Arabidopsis thaliana: one gene and its partners. The protein of the gene in region 2 interacts with the protein of the main gene of each other region in a pairwise test. Each region holds a gene or a part of one and is shown on either strand. Other genes may lie near its edges.

Region 1 (5,906 bases), on a different chromosome or scaffold from region 2:
TCTTTGTTGATGAAAACTGTATGAGCATAAATTAAAACCAATGTTTTGGGGGTTCCCTTGTTTTTGCTGGTTAAAAGCTTTTTCCAGAGATTGAGAGCGAGACGTAAATTGGGAAATGTCAAAGCAACGCTGTAACTAATCTTAAAGCTGTGAACTGGCCATGTGTTTGCTTATTTTGAAATCTACAAAACTCTTATAAAAAGACTCTAATAAATGCTTCTAGTTTATACTATATCCAACGTGTGAGATTTGAATTTGATTAATTAATTTATTCTTTTTCTGCATTTCAACTCCAAAACTCTCATTAAAAAAGGAAAAACTATGTACTCTTAATAAATTTGTCGACTCTCATATATAGCTTGTAGTATATATATATATATTCAATAACTACATAAAATAAAACAAAGTCATGAGAAAAAAAATGTTACCAAAGTTCAACTATTAACTGATTTCATTTTTCATGTAAAACTAACAATTATTAGGAGACGAAACAAAACAAAACAAACTGTACATCCAGAATATTAAATGCAAATCTTTTTTTTAAAAGTTATTGTATAACAATTTTATTTTATAAATTATAGATGTGAGTTTTATATATGATTTCTCAGACATTCGAAGAATCAACTATGAAACTAATATTACAAACAAACACACCCTTTTTTTCTTTAAACAAATCGATATGTATCGATTAATAATACAGAAGAGGAGAAGCACATTACTAACGAATTAAACTTGAAGCTGAAGTTGGTGGATTGTGTACAGAGAAGGTGAGAGATATCTGTCTTCCATCACATACCAAAGTTGGTCTGGACTTTACTCACGAGATGCTCTCCATAGACAGCTCTTTTGAAAACTTGGCATCCTCTTCTCCCTCCAGGGTACTTCTGTTTACATATACCCAATGGCTCCACTACCGCGTCGAAATTAGTCTGTTCATTCAAATTAAAACATGATTCCAAATCCAACAGTGGAAAAACACACCAGAGTGTTAAAAGTTTTAAACCTCATAGAAGGATGCAACACAAACACAGTATTGATGAGAGTTATTGATCATTCTATGAAGTGTGGATTTGTATACTCCGTGTGAAAGTATCTGCATTTTATGATTCCAAAAGGTTTTTCAAAAGGGTATTCAAGAGCAGGGCTTCCCCTGGAATTTTGGGTGCCAAATGCACCCAAAAATATTTAAGGTTATTTCAAAAGATTTTAAAAATTGAGGCCAACTAGAAAAAAATAAACAAAATTGAGACCGTTTTGTAAACAAATTTTCAGAAGAATTTCAAAAACAATTTCAAAAACATGTTTTTTGATGAGGTTCAGGACCGGCCATGTTCAAGAGAATGCGTTAAAATTCTCACTTTCTTTCAACCAAAACAAAGAGATAGAGAGATGTGAGTGCTTGAAACAGAGAATCAAGAGAGATTGAGAGACAGAGAGTACATAGGGATATAGTTTGAGTTCGATTAGGTTACTCTGTTTGTGCCCCCTAATAAAAAACCATGTCCATTATTGCTTAGCCACCGAAATTAACCTTCTTAAACTTGTTTTTAACAACAAAATATTATTCCAAAACCAATTTTGGATAGAAGAAAATAGGAAATGTTGAAAAACAAGAAAATGCAAACATTCCAAATTGAATGAAAAAGGACAAAAGTTAAGTGTTTGGCTCAAAATAAGCATAAACAGTAAAGAAACTCTCACAAAATGTGAGAAGTAGCAAAATAACTGCACCAAAAAAGGAAAAATATGCCCAAGGACTTCTAAGGTTGAGCTGGTACTTGTGTAATATGACTGCACTAAACAGACTCCACTTACGACTGTAAAAACGGTCTACACCAAGACAAAGTGGATATAGATAACTATCAATGGGATCGAAAACCACGTCTTGACATAATTTGTGGAACAAATCCACAACTTCAGAGTCACTCTCAAGCCAATGCTCGATGATACCACAATATTGCAAGTATCTAACATCTTCGTTAGAATTTATTAGATTCTCCACGAAAATTATGTAGGATGTTATCTGTTTGGTTGAGTCGATATGGCATTGCTCAAAAGCTATAAGATTTGACAAGAGAGACTTGGTACCTACAATAAATATGAAAGAGGTTCGTATGTTTAATTTTAATAATGTGATGGTTCTGTAGATAAATTTTTGGTTTTAAAGAGAACATATGTGGGAAAGGAAGGAATAAAAGAGTAGGAAAGAAAATAAAATAAAAGTTCTAACTTACCATCATGGGGTTCTCTAGGAAAAATAATGTATACGCCTAAATGGCTAATCATTCCGAATTGGTGAAATAGGCAACAATTGATGTCAGTCTATTTACTTTAGCGACTTGTGGGAAAAATCTGAACAAAACCAATACATGTCGCTCTATTTGGTTTTGTACAAAATCATTAACATGCAGATAGGTATCACGTTTGATTCTTAGGCGACAACAATATAAGCAAAATATGATTTAAAACTAATAAAAACGAAAATGTGAACTTACCGTCATGGATAAGTAGTTTCGGTATCTCTAGACAACCGTTTTTGAATTGAATATCCCATAACCGGTCGGATTTTCTTCTTTTGAATTTTATACCGGCTTCTCTTAGTTCTGTCACGCAATGTAGCAATTTTTGTTGGCGCTTGTCCGCCACGACGGGTTTCCAGGACCATCTACGCGATAACCTTGGCTCCGGTTTCAGACTAGGCTGGAGCACACTTCGACGGAAAACATCCAGACAGTGCAACTCTTCCTTGTCCTTGTCAGCAATTGGGTGAAAGAATTTATTGTTGTTTTCTTGCGAATTCTCGATTTTGGTTGATGGCATATAAGTTGGCATCAAAGGAAGTTGATTTTCCAGCATTAGCATGTCACGTCGAATCGAATGCATAGATCCTCGCATCGCGAAAACAGGGTCGTTTCGATCATAGCTACACACCAAGATAAAAAGAAAAAAGTTAAAAAAGAAATAAACGAAAGTCAACATTTAGTTTAGTCAACCGGATCTGAAATCAGTCCGGTTTAGCATAAAGCTAAATCATGCTTACCCAAGTTTCGAGAATCCTTCATAGGCTCCTCTGAAGAGATCGAGAACAAAACAGCCATCAAGAACTAGCATTTGGGTGAACTTGTTACTGCTCAAACCAATAGGACCTTCGTAGCAAGCACGAGCCCTCTCTTCGAGCTCTTTCATGGCGTCAATATACATTTCGATGCCTTGCTTGGTACGTTTCATGACCATATTGACCGCACGCCATTTGTGATAGTCCATGGGTCGGAGATGTTCGTCCCCATGGTGGTACGGACCAAGAGAGACAGTGTGAGGGAAGTAGGAATTCTTGTCGCTTTTTTGAAAGGAGAGTGGAACTCTGTAGATACAGAGCTTGTCCCAGCTAGTTGTGGCGGCGTCTCTCATTACTTGCTCCATCTTGTCTTTGATCCAAATCACCCATTCTTCCCGTGTCTCTTCAGGTTGTTGGTTTCGGGTTTGGAGTTTTTGGCGCATCATGAAGGTGAGGAAGTACCAGGTCAACATCGGTCGTAGTTGATAATTTCTTCTTGCTTTTCTTCTTATGATAATATGAGGGAAAGGAAGCTTCGGTCCAAATGGTAGCTGGGGCGGCGGCGGTGGTGGAGGTGGTGATCGTCGTTTACTAGGAACTGCCATTTTTGTTTTGTTGAAGTATTTTAGGAGATTGAGACTTTGAGAGTGACTGGACGCTTATATTATTGGACTTGTTTTTCTGTAATGACAACTACCAATATTGACATCTAATCATACTTATACTTAAAATGTGTTAAATAATCGTTAAACGTATTGGATAATGAATGCCTAGGCGAGCGATGTTTCTTTGACTTTTCTTCAACTACTCTTGATAGAAACAATTACTCTTATTAAAAAAAAAAAAATGTTGAGGTGCTCTTATAGAAAGACTACAAGAAAGAAAGTCTTAAAGAAAGACTACAAGAAAATAGTCTTATAAGAAAAAATGTTGAGGTGTTTCTTTCACTTTTGTAGTTTTTCTATAAAAGCATCTCATTGTGCCGTGTGCCGCGTTTCCTAAAAAATAAGAAACATTTGTAGTTAAGTATTGTTAGAACATATTACTATTTTATAAATTTGTTATCAAGTTATTTTGTGTACTACACTTTGCAAAATGTTGTTGAATGGTAATATAATTATCAAACCACTTTTAAACTATTAATTCTGAAAATCAAATAATAAATTTATATTAAAGGATTAGATAAATTCACTTCTTTCTTTCGCTCTAAAGTAACCAAAGATTAGATGAAAAGAAGAACATGGTTGCTTAAGAACGAAGGTAGGGCTTTTGCTTCAGAACAATGTAAGAAAAATAGGGTTTCTATATTAAGTTGCAGATGATTTGAATAGAGGACAAATCCCTCTATTTATACAATATTTAGACAGTTTAAGGATATGCTAAACTTTTAATTATCTAAAGATTGAATTTTCATTCCTTCCATTTTTCGTGAGATCCTCCTTTTTTAAATGGAAGTCTTCTCTTTTTCGATTTATTCACAATCTCTCTGGTTTAAGTCGGTATTGTCGAATGTGTTAATTCATGCACCAACATAAACCACCGGTTCCACTGGTCTCATTCATAGTCTAAGACTTGATTATTCTGAGATGTTAGTTATGCTTACCCACCAAATCAACGTTTTTAGTATTGTTTTTCAACAACATTCCAAAACCCAAAAATTACAATACCAATTTTGAAAAGAAGAAAATAGAAAATGATGGGAAAAAAAACAGAAAAACTTAACATTCCATATTAGTAAAAACTATATAACAAAACAAAAAACAAAATTAAGGGTTTGGCTTATAATAAGCATAAATAGAAAAGAAACTCTCACATAATGTGAGAAGTAGCAGAGCAACTGCAGCAAAAAATGAAAAATATGCCCACGGATTATTAAGGTTCACCTGGTACTTGTATATCAAGATTCTCTTAAAAACATTCCACCTACGGTTAGAAAAACAGTCTACATCAGTAGACAGTCGAGATAGATGACTATTTTGGAGATCAAAAACTACTTCTTGACATAGCTGCTTGAACAAATTAGATTTTATACAAACATATGTGAGTAATGAATAAAAAGTAGGAAAGAAATGAAAACTTTTTAGCTTACCATCATGGATTAGTAGTTTGGGTATTTCTAGATAACCATTTTTGAATTGAATATCCCAAAACCGGTCAGTATTCCTTCTCCTGAACTTTACACCAGCTCCTCTTAGCTCTGTCACGCAATTTACCAGTTGTTGCAATCGCTTGTCCACCACATACGTATTCTTAGTCAACCTCATTAGTCTAGATCTTTGATTCGGTGTAGGATTAGACTGGAGCAGACTCTGACGAAATACATCCAGACAGTGCAATTTGCCCTTATCGTCAAGTATGTCCAATGATTTTTCTTGCCCGTTCATGAGTTTTGGTTGGTCAACTTCGGTCAACGTCTCCATGCAGAGCTCTCCCCAGATCGTTGTGTCGTCGTCTCTATGTGCTTGATCGAGCTTGTCTCTTAACGATATTAACCAACTGTCTCCTGTGGTCTCTTCCGACCTCTCTCCTATCACCTCGATCTCACAGAACACGGAGCAAGTCTGCTCCTGACTCTTATAGTCTTGGTCTTGACCCGGTCTGGTAATTTCCTCTGTACCTCCACATCTCTGAAGAGTCAATATTTCGGCTAAACCATGGAGGTTTTGATCTTTGACTGGTTCGGATAGTTGATTGTTGGTGAACATGTCTTTGTTGATGAGAATTGGTTGGTCATTGGAATGAACATTAACTAAATCCATTGTTGGTTGAAGCTTTTTCAGGAAATTGGGAGAGATTGTAATTGTGAGATGTTTAATGCAACGCTGTAACTAATTTAAAGCTGTAACTTGGC
Region 2 (8,141 bases):
CAGTGAGACAAAAGATCGATCACTTGGTGGGCAATAATCGAGAGATCAAGACTGAAGAGTGAAAAAAAAGAAGATAAAACTTTGTGATAATACAAACTCAGATCAAATGGAGATCTAAAAATATGGGCAAATTTATATGAAATCTCAGATTTTTGTGAAGAAGAAGGTGGGAGGAAACGAAGGGAACGTTGACTTGAAACGGAAGAATCGGAACATTTTAAAGATATTGGCTGCCGTTGTTGAATCGTTCTAACTTTAGCCATTAATAACACAAATTAATCTTCAATTAAACTAATAAATTATTTGTTTTTAGTAACGACGACTAAGAGGACTTCCACTTTGGTTGTTGGCTGCTCACGAAACTCTTTCTCTCTGGTCCCTCTTTTGATGCAACTTCATTTGAGTGGTGATGTTACTATTTTTATATATCAACTAGAAATTAAACATTCGACTTAATAGTGTAAGTAATAATTAAGCATGACATTTTCTTGAAATGAAATCATATTACTATTTAATATTTATTATCAACAAGAAGTAAACATTCGAAAAATCACTAAATTAAACCATATAATTGCGTATTGAATAATAAATCAAGACATTTTCTTCAATGGAGAAGACATTTTCATTGTTGAAGTCTTCCTCAATTTTGAACTATAATTTTCAACAGCTCTAGTGGATTCATATTATCTATCAGTCGTGGTCTTAGCACATCATTATCTTATAGTGAAAAGAAAAAAGTTGAACTTGTAAAGAAATACAAACTAGTTTGAAATTCGAATTGAGGGATTAGGATATAATTTATTTATTATTTTAAGTTTATAACTAGTCAAAATGATTAGCTAATGCAGATAAAAAGTATTTTAATTAGGGATTAATAATCACATTCTCCGATTACAACTTGAAAAAGTTGGCGATTAGTCAAACCGAGCCGGCTAAGCAGAATTATTATAAAAGGCATCACGGACAATAGCCGTTACTCCGTCAAAAAAGTAACGGCGATCAGAGTAACTTAACAGAACGAAAGCCAAAACGTGAACACAAACTCTAATTCGTCTCCCACTTCTCAAAAGGATAAAGAAAAGCTCTGATTTTTTATGAGCAACAAAAAATAGTTTAGTCAAAGCGCAATTACAGTTTATTTTTTGTTAAAACCAAAAAGCTTTTAAGGATTAAAATTAGTTAGGGAATAAGAAAAAGTTGGAAATTTACATAAGTGAAATGAGGATTTACATGATTCTACATTTGCTATCTTTATCTTTAGGGGATTTGCCGTCGTGTCTCGAAGACGCAGCTGATGATGGCCTGTGGCTGCTCCTTGGTACCTGCAATGGTCAGTACAATATCTGATCATTAACATTCATCCAAACACCACAAGAAGCAAGGCTGCATTATATTCAATGAGCTTCTGATTACGGTGTATGATCATTATCGATGTTTTACACTCGCAATTGGTACTTGTAAACTCATCTTAGTCGGTAAAGTATATGGACAGAAAACAAATGTACTAAACAGGACTTGCAGATGTGCTTGTTAAGGCTATACTCTCTTACTATTTTAATAATCAGTGTTGTATATTGTTGCAATGTGCAGGTCACACGGTAATTTACCTTTTCTTATAATCATTGTTAACCATTTGTGTCGATTCCTGCTTTTTAAGAATATAGTGTTATGAGTAGGAATGAAATACCTGTGGACCAGTGACCAATCGTGAGGCAGCAACGCTAGTTGGTTGTGGAGTTGGGTTACTACGTGGGCTCTGGTCCTCAAACTCTTGTTGTTGCAAAGCTATTGCTAGTTGCAGATCAGAACTGCATAGTACCATGGGAATTAAAATTAAACAATCATAAATATGTTTTTAAGAGGACAGTTATAACAAATGCATAAATGTGTCTCTGGTGAGAACCAATGGGTTAGTGGTCAAAGAAAGGTATGAAATATTTACTTGACATCTATGCCTGCATCCGCTACATTGTTGATGCTGGCAAGATAATCCTGTGTAGGGAGAACCAAAAGAAAAAAAATGATTAAAAAGGTAAAAGAAGGAGATCTAATGTGGATTAGTGACTATATTATGAGGAGAACATACAGCAGTATTTGTGACTGCGTTTCGTTCATCCCATGTGCCACTTGCACCACCTGTGCTGCTGTCGATCGTGAAGTCCTTGAAGGTAGCAGTCATGAATGCAGTGTCACCATTAACCTGAAACCAGATTGCATGTCAATAGTGGTCACAACAGCCATAGCTCTAAAGAGATTGTGGATATAGAGATATCTCCTAAGAAGCCAAAATTAGCAGATAAGACAAATGGTGAGTAAGTAACTTTTGCTGATACCTCGTTTAGTTTTTCCCAAACCAAATCAGGCTGATTCAGGTAACCTTGATCTGTAGCCAAAAGATAAAGTTCACCTTCATACTGAAAATATGACAGCAACAAGAAGAATTTAGTTGGGATTAACCTGTTGCAATTCAAAGATGGAAATAACCGCAAACTAAACAAACCTTGAACATGGTGCAGAAATGATTGTTCCGGAAAAAAACACAGAGTTCACGTTCTTTGAGGCCTTCTTGCAAGCGAAAGAGTCTGTAAGATATGATCAATAATCAATGTAAGATAATACATGAGCAGTCAATTTAAAATATAACTTCCTAACTATGAATAAGATCACGCACCCACAAAAGGTTAATTGACTTGCACTATTCTTCATAAAGTTCCTGATTAGTTCACCTGGAAAAACTCAAGAACAACTATTTAATAATTGCAAGAATATATGGAAAAATGTGAACTAGAGCAAAGAGAGCAGCTCTAACCACAATGGCATGCATGTATGAGTTTCCGAAAATGTATTTCAAGTGTATCACAAGTAGATCAGACACAGTATAATTTACCTTCTTCTGCTGTGAGCCCATCCGTAGCCCTCCCTTCAGAAGAACAATCACCAACATCCTTCTCAACCCTTTTACCAAGAAGTGACTCACCTTCATAAACGGGTTCTTTGTCTGCACAAACTGGAGGCACTGTGTTTACACATTCCTCACCTTCGTACATAGGTTCATCGGTAGATACAGGTGGGATAAAAGCGTTGGGTGCATCATCATGCTGGGATCTGCAACTCAAATCTGGAGATGCAATGGGTATCTGAGTAAGAATTTTCCTATCTAATATCTTCAGATGCAATTTTAGCCAGTAAAATGATTAAGATGGAGGAGTACTATACTTATGTATAGAGACATCTATAAGGTTACACCAACTAAGGAAGAGTCAAAAAAACTACCTGGATCAATAGAAGCTGCATCAGACTTGAGTACACTCTCAGAACTGCTTTCACTTTTCGCTGACTCCAGATTACCCTTATCCACAGAGAGTGCCTCAGAAGAAGTTACATCGACAATGGCCTCTTTGCTGCTACTCACGTTCTCAACATCACAAGCCGTTTCACCTCCAGATTGCTTAGAAGATAATTGATCATGGTTAAGATCCTCACTTTTAGTTGTAATCGTTGTCGGAAATTTCCCAACTTTGATCATATTCCCATCATTTTCTGATGCTTTATCATCATCAGTTTTGAACTGGTCTAGCTGACTGATATTAGTAATATGGGTGCTAGTTGGACTCGCATCTGAAAATGTGAACGCAGAATCTTGATTGGTTGAGTCTCCGTTAGTGTTTGGAGTTGGATCATTCCCCTGCCCCTGTGATAACTGCAAGGCTTGCAACAACTCTGTTTCTTCTTCAAGATCCCCCTTTCTCATTCTACGAAGCTCTGCAGCCGCAGGTGGAGAATCATCAAAAGATCTTGTTTTCGAAAGACAAGGTGAAGGAACCCCTAAAACTGCAGTAGTTGCCGCAGCAAAATCAACAGAATCTTCTCCGGGATTTTGATCGCCTTGAGCCTCTACATTCTGTGTCTCCAGTGCAACTAGCTCACCCATAAGAGCATTATACGATTTGCTACCAATTGCATTAGCTGCTTCAACATCCTGTAGGTATGCACATGGGAAACAATTGAATCAATACTTTTACAGTTTTACTACAGGCCCAGGATTGATAAGGACACCATCTTAAAATGAGTGCTCTTGACCACTGTTCCAATCCATCTTAAAACGAGCCAAACAATGGATAAAAAGAATAAAGTAACCTATGTTTTGTTTCTCAACTCTCAAGAAGATAAAGAAGAGAAGATGACCCCACATCCCAAACATCCACACACAAAAGACAGGAACGAAATTAAAAAACGTCAACAGCCTATACTAATGAAATTTAATTATTTACGCGCAGACAGAGCCATTCTGATAAAGTATGAAACAAAATGATATACCTGAGGATCAACTATCCATCCATGATATAAGGGAATGTCAAGTAAATCAAATATTGCACATTCAGGTGTGAACTCAAAATCATCAATCCTGCAACCAGGTAAACACTCATGATAATTAACTTATGAATTTCTACCTATTATAAGCAGAAACAGCTGACAAAGTATTAACCTCCTGAATTTAATATTGACATCAATTCCAGTAGTAAGGCGTGGAAGAAGATCAATTGCATCAGCAATGTTCTGTTGCTGATTCTCAATATATCCTTCATCTTTGTTCTGCCATTGAGAAGAATAAAAGATTCACATAGATTCAAGCCACAAGATAATATAAAGAACAGGCAAAGATAAGAAGCCAGCTTATTTACATTGACTTTACTATTGGAATCAATGAGTCTGTCGACCACGAGGGACATCAATCTCTCTTGAGAAACCTCATAACAGTCAGGATTTAGATTCAAGTTGTTTCTCAAGAGAAGCACATTACCTGTTTCATCCCAAAATCAAATAACAATCAGTAATCAAAGTGTTAATTGATCTAAGTATTATTAAGCACACTAAATACCAAATTCTCACACTTGTCATTTCTACGAGAAGCTCAAGCTAACAACAAAATCTGATGTTCGGTACACTAACCATCAAATCAATGATTCATTACATTGTACGGAACAAGCAAACCTAACACCGATTCTTCAATTTCTTTTACAAATTCCACAAAATCAGTAACGCAAACCTAAAGAATCAATGATCATAACACCGAAATTCCACTTTCCAAACCCTATTTTTACGATCTGAATGAAGTTTTATGAGGACGAAAAAGGAGAAAATAGAAACATACAAATGGCTAACAAAGGACAAGGTCCATTTTCGTTCTGGAGAATGATAGGTGTGGTTCTTCCAAGGAACTGAATCGATTTCGTCTTATACAAAATCTCCTCCTCCGTAGTAGTTTCCTTCGGTAAATCTTGCTGCTGCATCGCTTCTTGATTCGTCTGCGTTTCTTCGCTCGGAGATTCTGAAGATGAAGCGGTCGCCATTGACGATGATGATATCAACCAAAGCTAATGAAAAAACAAATTCGAAAAAAAGTCAAATTTTCGATCGAAGAAGAAGAGAGACAGATTATTGGAAATTCCGAAGAAATTTTATTTTTTCTGATCCAAATCGAAAAGAGGAAGCGAGCGAGAGAGCAAAGAGGATTTAATTTATATTACGAGAAAGAACTTTTATGGGAAGGTTGATATTGAAATGTGTCACATAACCAAACCGGTACGTACCAAATCGAAATTCCGGTATTGTTTAAATTGCTATTGAACCAAATATAGTAACGACCAATTTTTCAAATTTATTCCGGTATTTGATGTATGAGAAGAATTATGGTTCGATTATTACGGTTTTGATAAACCAATTGGGTATCTTTAGTGCGTATCTTCTCGGGGAAAGGTCAATTTAAATGATAAAATTCTTCATTTCTTATCATAACACCGTCATTTCATTTCCTTAAAAGTCATCTTTTAATAGTTTTTTTATTCCTAATTAATTTCTTTATAACACGTAACATTTTAAAAAATTTTGGGAAATTTCTTGATATATCATTTACGAAAGAATTAGAAGTGTATTTATCACATTTATTTATATTATAGTTTTACACGAAAAGTTATATGAATGTCAGAATGTGTTGACAAAAAGAAAAGGAAGAATATAAGTGTTTGACGATCTAGAAGGAATCTATAAAAACGGTGGGACAATTTGAATGTTTAAAGAATTATGAGGTTTGAGGTTTAAATCGAAAAACAGAACCAAAATAAAAGTGTGGCCTGCGTCTAAACAATGGTGTGTTTTTTCACTTTAATTGTTTTCCGTTTAGTAATTATTTCACTTCAATATATAAGCATGTATTTTTATTAAAAACATGAAAATACTGTAGAAATTATGTTTTATAAATTATCACATTAATGACTAATTTTGAGAAACCAAACTTTATATATTAAGATGTTAGTAACATAACATTATAACCATCAATCTCAATTCACAAGGGAGATAAATTGATGAAGCAGCAGAATAACATCATTTCTGTTTGACCACGCTTGTACAAACATGTCAATGACAATGTGTTGGTATTTTTAATGTTGACTATATATATGGGCTGTAATTGAATAGTTAAAAGCCCAACAGGCCATTTGAAACCTAATTGTTATACTATCACGCGTATAGATGATGAAATCCAATTATAAAACTTCGAGGCATATGGCTTTTGCATCATTTTGAGTCAGCCGATATTCAACCCAATACACATCGGTCCGGTTTAGTAGTTGGTCCATCGATCTATACCAAATATATCGTGATCAATGGCTAGAAAAACCATCGATCTCAATGAGGCATATTAGGAATATTGTTCCACATTAGAAGTTGAGTATAATTTTAAGTGGTATATATATAAGTTATGAGTTTTTCCACTTATTGTCAATTAGTTTTGAGTTGAAACCGCACAATCTAATAGATTTGAGTTGTATATAAGAGATATAGACCTTTCCATTTATTGTCAATTAATTTTGAGTTAAAAACCAATAAAACTTAACATGGTATCAGAGTCCAAAAACACATGATTCACTAATCCAGTCCGGAAAGTGGTCTGGTCATCTTTACTAATTAATAGTTCAAAAAAAAACTAAATTCTGTCGAAATAACTAGAAAAACATTATTTCCAAGAAGCGTATAGAAAAAATTCCACATTAAAAATATAGAATAGACTTGACTAGTGTATAAAAAATATAAATCTCTTTATTCATTGTTAACTAGTTTCGAATTAGAAACCATAAAACTTAACATTTTTAACTTTTTTGTTCATATATCTTCGTTTGTTCTCAGTATTCATTATATCTAATTCATTCTTTTCTTTTCTTTTTGATCATTTTATTTTTATAAGCGAAATTTGCATGTATAACCTAAAAAAAACTTATTAATTAAGAAACTAATCTATTGCAAAAAACTTACACTATAATAATTATGTAATATATAATATTACAAGTTTGTCCTCACCCCCACAATAATTATCACCACCACCACCACTGTTGCTGCTGCCACTGCCGCCACCTTCGACGTCACCGCCGCCGCTGCCGCCACTGCCGCCGTTACCGTCCTTACCGGAATGAATGCCATCACCTGAGCCATTACTCCATTGTTGGGGTTCCCATTGTCACTGGAGTCACTGCCATCGTCGGAGCTGTCACCGTCGTTGTCGCCGAAGTTATCGCTGGAACCACCGTCGTTGTTGGAGTCACCGCTGGAATCACCGTCGCGCCGGAGTCGCCGCCGTCGCCGGAGCCATCACCGAAGTCACCGCCGTCGCCGGAGCCGCTGCAGTCGCCAGAGTCACCGCCACCACCTATAATCATTTAATAAACCCTTTAGATTAGTTAGTTAATTGATACATATATAGTGTTATTTTCTTAATTATTTACTGTAAATATGTTATAAATTTTTTCTTACACTAACGCTTTCTTTAATTGAAAAATAAGATGTATACAGTAGACATTAAAAAAAAGACTCATTCATTAATCACATATGGCATAGTGGTCCAAAGCCACAGTAACCTCTTACACGAAGTTCGAAATAAGGCTTGCTGACTCGATAAAGTGGAAAAATTAACAATAATAATATCTCATTAAAAATAATAACAACCCTTAACAAACAAAAAAATAATAACAACAACGACTTAAGTTTACAACTGAAATTTGGGATATGTTCACATAAGAAAACGAAGCAAGTAAAAATTAGATCCGTTCGCTTGTAATACATATGCACATACCAATTTCCAAAATTCTAAA
Region 3 (4,725 bases), 9.4 Mb from region 2:
GATCACTATATAATGCAAGTTCCATCTGAAATGTTTTGGTCCATATAAACATTTATATTAAATACTCTAAACTCAAATGGTATGTATTTAAATCAGCATGTTTAACTAGGAAATATGTATGACATATACTTTGTGTTAGTATCATCGTTGTGTCATCGCTAGAGTTTAACCTTTGTATAATACATGTTATCCACAAAAAAGGGAGTATAACAATTAAAATATTCATAACAAATTTGTCTGGTAAACAATATAACTTCTTTTTTCCTCCCAATTAATAAATAACTACTCACATGTAAGGAGAACGTATAAAAAATACAGTAAACAATGAAGTGTAAGTATTTTATAATAAACGATATGTTCCTTACAGGTTTATAATGGCTATCTCACGTGTATCCTTCGTAGATTGGCATCAATCTTTTCTCATGCAAGCGTATCTTGCCTCTTCACCTTTCCAGATATTTGGTTCCTACACGTAAGATAATTTCACCACACTCCGTTCTCCAAATATATTAGGTAAAATTAATCCGTTAATTATGTATTATTAAACATAAACATATATATGAATCAAGATTTCATAATGTTTTTGACATTTTCTTTTACCAGTGTTCTTATCGGACATGCTTGAAATATAGTGTTACGTAATTCAGGTTTTAGCATAAATTTCGAGCATATGTCCGCTACCTAATTATTTCTAGTTAGTTAAAATATCAAAGAATCAATACTCTTGTGTTGGCTTATCAATAGCACATTTTTGAAAGTAAATAAATACGTTATGGGTATTTCTACACTACTTGCAATGGGATTGAAATATATTCCCAATAAAAGTGAGACCAAGATCGATAACGTGACGACATATACAGTACCAACAATTCTCTCCTCTGTTATTAATTCTATTCCCTTTTATCCATAACCCTAATGCTATCCAGCATTTGGAAACACCATTTATATTCTTACCTATTAACTTTCTATTAGTTCTCTCCAGATTAGGCATTAGCTAGTGTGGGTATATCAAATATTCGATGCTTTAGTGTAACTAACCACGTCTGATTTAATATCAAACCTAAATTCGAGGTGTGTGATCCGACCGTCACCATGCATTTGTATGTCCTCAAACCTATTTTGGTATGAAGATTTAACTATCGTCAAAATGTTGAGTTCTACTTTGGAAAAATCAGAAGTTTAATTAATTGTTTTCTAAATTACCACGAGAACTTTATCTATGTTTTATCATCAATCCCATGATATTGAAAATCGCTTATTCAGTAGTTCACACATCTTTAATAGATAGTGGATAAATTATCTTTATTCTCGTATGTACCACCACATTACACAAATTAGAATGTTACATCAATCAGATGGACTCAGTTTTACCCCAACTAGATAATAAATATCTAGGTTCATCCATGAATCCAAACGATACAAACAACATTCAGCATGATAGAATTAGAAACTTTAGTTGGAATGCTTTGACGTCCACGTCTCTGGATTCTTACTATGTCAATGGCCGAATTGTTAATTTGGAGAGTTCGTAACATTTGAATAACTAGTCTCATTAACTTCTTCATTTGTATTTATAATAAGAGATTAAATCATTTATGGTTCTGTAGCTATTTTACAAATCTTGTTTTTAATTACCATTTGTTGTATTTACTTAAGCAACCTTGAAGGTTTACAAGAGTAAAAGATAAAGAGAATTTCTAAGGCAAAGTTACAAGATTACGTAACAGAGGATTCAAGTTTATAACCAGAAGGAAAAAAAAAAAAAAAAAAACATTCACTAGCAAAGAGGATCTAGCTAGATTATCAAGTGTTCTTCATCCTTTTGAATTCTCTTTTGTCTAGCGATGAAAGCTTCAATCTTTGTCCTAAATTGCTCGTTGCTCATTCCATCTTCTGGTTTCTTAACTCTCACCACTACTTTCTTGTCGGAGTCACAAACCCTCATATGCTTCTCCGACACATACCTCTTCATGTTTTTCTCACCATTGGTACTCTCCAGCGGCTTAACCGCCTCAAACGCTTTGTGCGATTGGCTTCTCCCGAAACTAACCCTCTTCCCTCCACTCGGCTTCTTTAGTTGTTCTGTTTTCGTAGCGTAAACTACGGGTTTCTTCTTCTCACTCTTGTGAAGAAATTCTTGGTAAAGATCGTTGCTTGCAGCTTCTGTTGCTGTCTTTGAAGGCTCGTGACTCGAGCTGTATCGTCCGGATTTCGCAAGAAGAGTAATTACAATTGCGTTTCCGATGAAGAAAACGAATCTCGGGCTAACGAGAAACACTGCTGCTTCCTTGAAAATGTCCCCAGAGATTTTTACAGAAGGGAAAGAGAGTTTGGAGATCAAGATTACAAGAAGAAGAAGCTCGAACAGTCTGAACAAGCTCGTGAACGATCTTATTGCTTGGAAATTCAAGATTCCTCTGGATTTCTCCATCTTCAAGTGTTGAAACTTAATTGGATCCATCAAGATGAATTCTTGCAAAAAGAAAAACACAGAAAAAAGCAAGAAAAGGAGCTTTTTTAAGAGATCGTGGAAGTGATTTAGGTCACTCGAAAGAAGTGATATTTACGGAAACAAAGTGAGTAGCAGAGAGTTTTGTCATCAGGAGATTAAACAAAGGAAGAAGAACAATAGTCATGGTGAACAAGGACCAGTTTGTATGTTTCATTAAGAAAAACAGAGGATTGGGGAATATGTATTTGCTCCGTTTTGTTATATCTTTTTGTGTGTTTTTTCTTGGGTTTGTCTTGTAGGTGTTGGATTGAGTTGCTTACGCTTATTATATATAGACTATGAAAAATATTCATGATAATAATAAAAAGTTTATTTTAAATTAAATCAATTTTATTGCAATAAAATGTAGAAAATTCAATTCTCCCAAGACTTTTTATTTTGGAAAAAAACATCTAAATAATTGTGAACAGCATTTGCTTTCTTTTGTTTTTACTTTATCCACAAAATTATTCTCAATGCTCCCAAAAGCTGTCCTAGCTATTCCTTCATCGCCCATGAGGTAACTCATGACCAATCACATCTTCTTCATATTCCCTGATTTGTTTTCATCATTTATTCGATCTTCACTTCTACATATACGTGCATCTTCTAGATAAATCTAAAGACGCTGTTATGAAACTAAATTAATGTGAAAGATTAATTGCATAAATTTATCGGAAGATTTGTAATAGTCTTTGTCGTGTTTAGGTTAATTATCATTGTACAATTTTTACGTGCTCAATTTAGACTAATATTTTTGTTTCAAGAAAGTGTGTTTTGTTTAATCCAAAGATGAAATAAAATAACATATATGTAATCAAAACGTTGGCGTTTACACTTTATAGATGCGTGCAAAACAATACAAGAAGAAGCAGTTACTTAAAAAAGCCTTCTATGAAAGTGGAGAATACAAATGGAAACTGGCAAGTGTAGGATCTTTAACAAACTAAATAACTAATTAAAGGTATATGCATGTAAAGAGTTCTTTGGCACAAAAAAAATATGTTTCTTAATTCAAGAGTGACAAGAGTCCTACTATATATCCCATGATCACTTACGATGAATACATACGTCGTCAAATTACGTACACATGATCTAACAAGATCTCTATGTCTAACAACGTACACATGCAACTGTAAAAACGACATAGATATGAACAGGCGTTGTCGACAGAAAGTTTTGGTCGATAAGAAAAGGAAATTAACAGTCATAACCTTATTTTCTTTTTATCCCATTTTGATACTCTTTTGGAAAGGGAAATTAAAAAAAAAGAAAGCGCAAACTGAAAGGCCACAATTAAATTAACCCCCCAAAAAATCTGAAAGGCCATTATGGATGGGATTTGGATGTAAGAAGCTCTTTTTTTCAGTCTTTAGTTTGAAAATTTTAAGTTAATTTGATGATCTAATAAATTTCTAACTCCTAAACTCTCAAACCCAAAACTAAAGTAAAAATCCTGTCTATTTGAAGCCTATAACTTGTTTATGAGAATCTGAGATACATGTTTTAAAACTATGAAAAAACATTAGAATGTACATTCCACAAATTATACAGATATATATTGCCAATAGATTTATAAGATTATCTTCTAGCAGAAAGCCCATTTGTAAATGTGGAACACTTAATGAGACTGATTTCCTTCTTCACTAAGACAAGCTCAACATTATACACTTTTCTGTCCTTTTTTTTGGTGTCTCTCTTTAATAATTTATGGACTTTAACTTTGCTTTTCCGAAATATGAAAGACCCCATCTTGTAAATAGAATGCAATTAACTTCTCTTTTTGATAGTTTTTGAGTCACCTATTAAACTTTCCGTTATGGACATGATTGATCTATAAAAGAAATTTTCAAATTATGTGGTGGCTGGCTAAGTTGATAAAACTCTCCCATTTCTTTAGATTATCCATTTGTTTCGTAGACTTTGTATCATCCAAAATTTTCTCTCCTTTATTCAGAATTCTGGCGCTTATGAAACTTTTCTTGAACACAATTTTAAATGTAAAAAGGTGAAATTAATATACGTATGGACCCCTCGGAAAGAAAAAGGTCATATACATATGGTCCTTGAGCAAGTAGCTTTGATTTGATTCTGGAATATATGGCTCTACCGCTCTAGTCTAGTGATACACATCATATTTACATATTAGTCGCTTAATTCATTGTTGACTTACTCGATCCATTGTCATGAAGGATTTCTAAGTTTGATATGTCTTCTTCTAAGGGATTTGATTG

What was found. The genes of interacting proteins can lie anywhere in the genome.
Region 1: the proteins of AT4G11860 (region 2) and AT3G50190 interact in a protein complementation assay, tested with the Arabidopsis thaliana proteins (one large-scale study listed by BioGRID).
Region 3: the proteins of AT4G11860 (region 2) and AT4G34560 interact in a protein complementation assay, tested with the Arabidopsis thaliana proteins (one large-scale study listed by BioGRID).

The regions. Positions count from the first base shown.
Region 1 is NC_003074.8:18,607,510-18,613,415, forward strand, and holds AT3G50190 (transmembrane protein, putative (DUF247)), read right to left. Parts: upstream 3,754-5,906; 5' UTR 3,661-3,753; coding exon 3,041-3,660; intron 2,924-3,040; coding exon 2,496-2,923; coding exon of another isoform or gene 2,419-2,495; exon of another isoform or gene 2,089-2,418; coding exon 1,655-2,088; 3' UTR 1,560-1,654; downstream 1-1,559. Other genes in the region: AT3G50200 (hypothetical protein (DUF247)), read right to left, coding at 4,953-4,978, 5,145-5,814.
Region 2 is NC_003075.7:7,133,011-7,141,151, forward strand, and holds AT4G11860 (FAM63A-like protein (DUF544)), read right to left. Parts: upstream 5,501-8,141; 5' UTR 5,352-5,500; coding exon 5,153-5,351; intron 4,802-5,152; coding exon 4,683-4,801; intron 4,594-4,682; coding exon 4,487-4,593; intron 4,406-4,486; coding exon 4,318-4,405; intron 3,980-4,317; coding exon 3,274-3,979; intron 3,119-3,273; coding exon 2,888-3,118; intron 2,727-2,887; coding exon 2,672-2,726; intron 2,583-2,671; coding exon 2,501-2,582; intron 2,415-2,500; coding exon 2,334-2,414; intron 2,201-2,333; coding exon 2,087-2,200; intron 1,993-2,086; coding exon 1,943-1,992; intron 1,809-1,942; coding exon 1,688-1,808; intron 1,323-1,687; coding exon 1,227-1,322; 3' UTR 886-1,226; downstream 1-885. Other genes in the region: AT4G11870 (uncharacterized protein), read right to left, coding at 7,485-7,709.
Region 3 is NC_003075.7:16,505,659-16,510,383, reverse strand, and holds AT4G34560 (uncharacterized protein), read right to left. Parts: upstream 2,769-4,725; 5' UTR 2,462-2,768; coding exon 1,796-2,461; 3' UTR 1,560-1,795; downstream 1-1,559.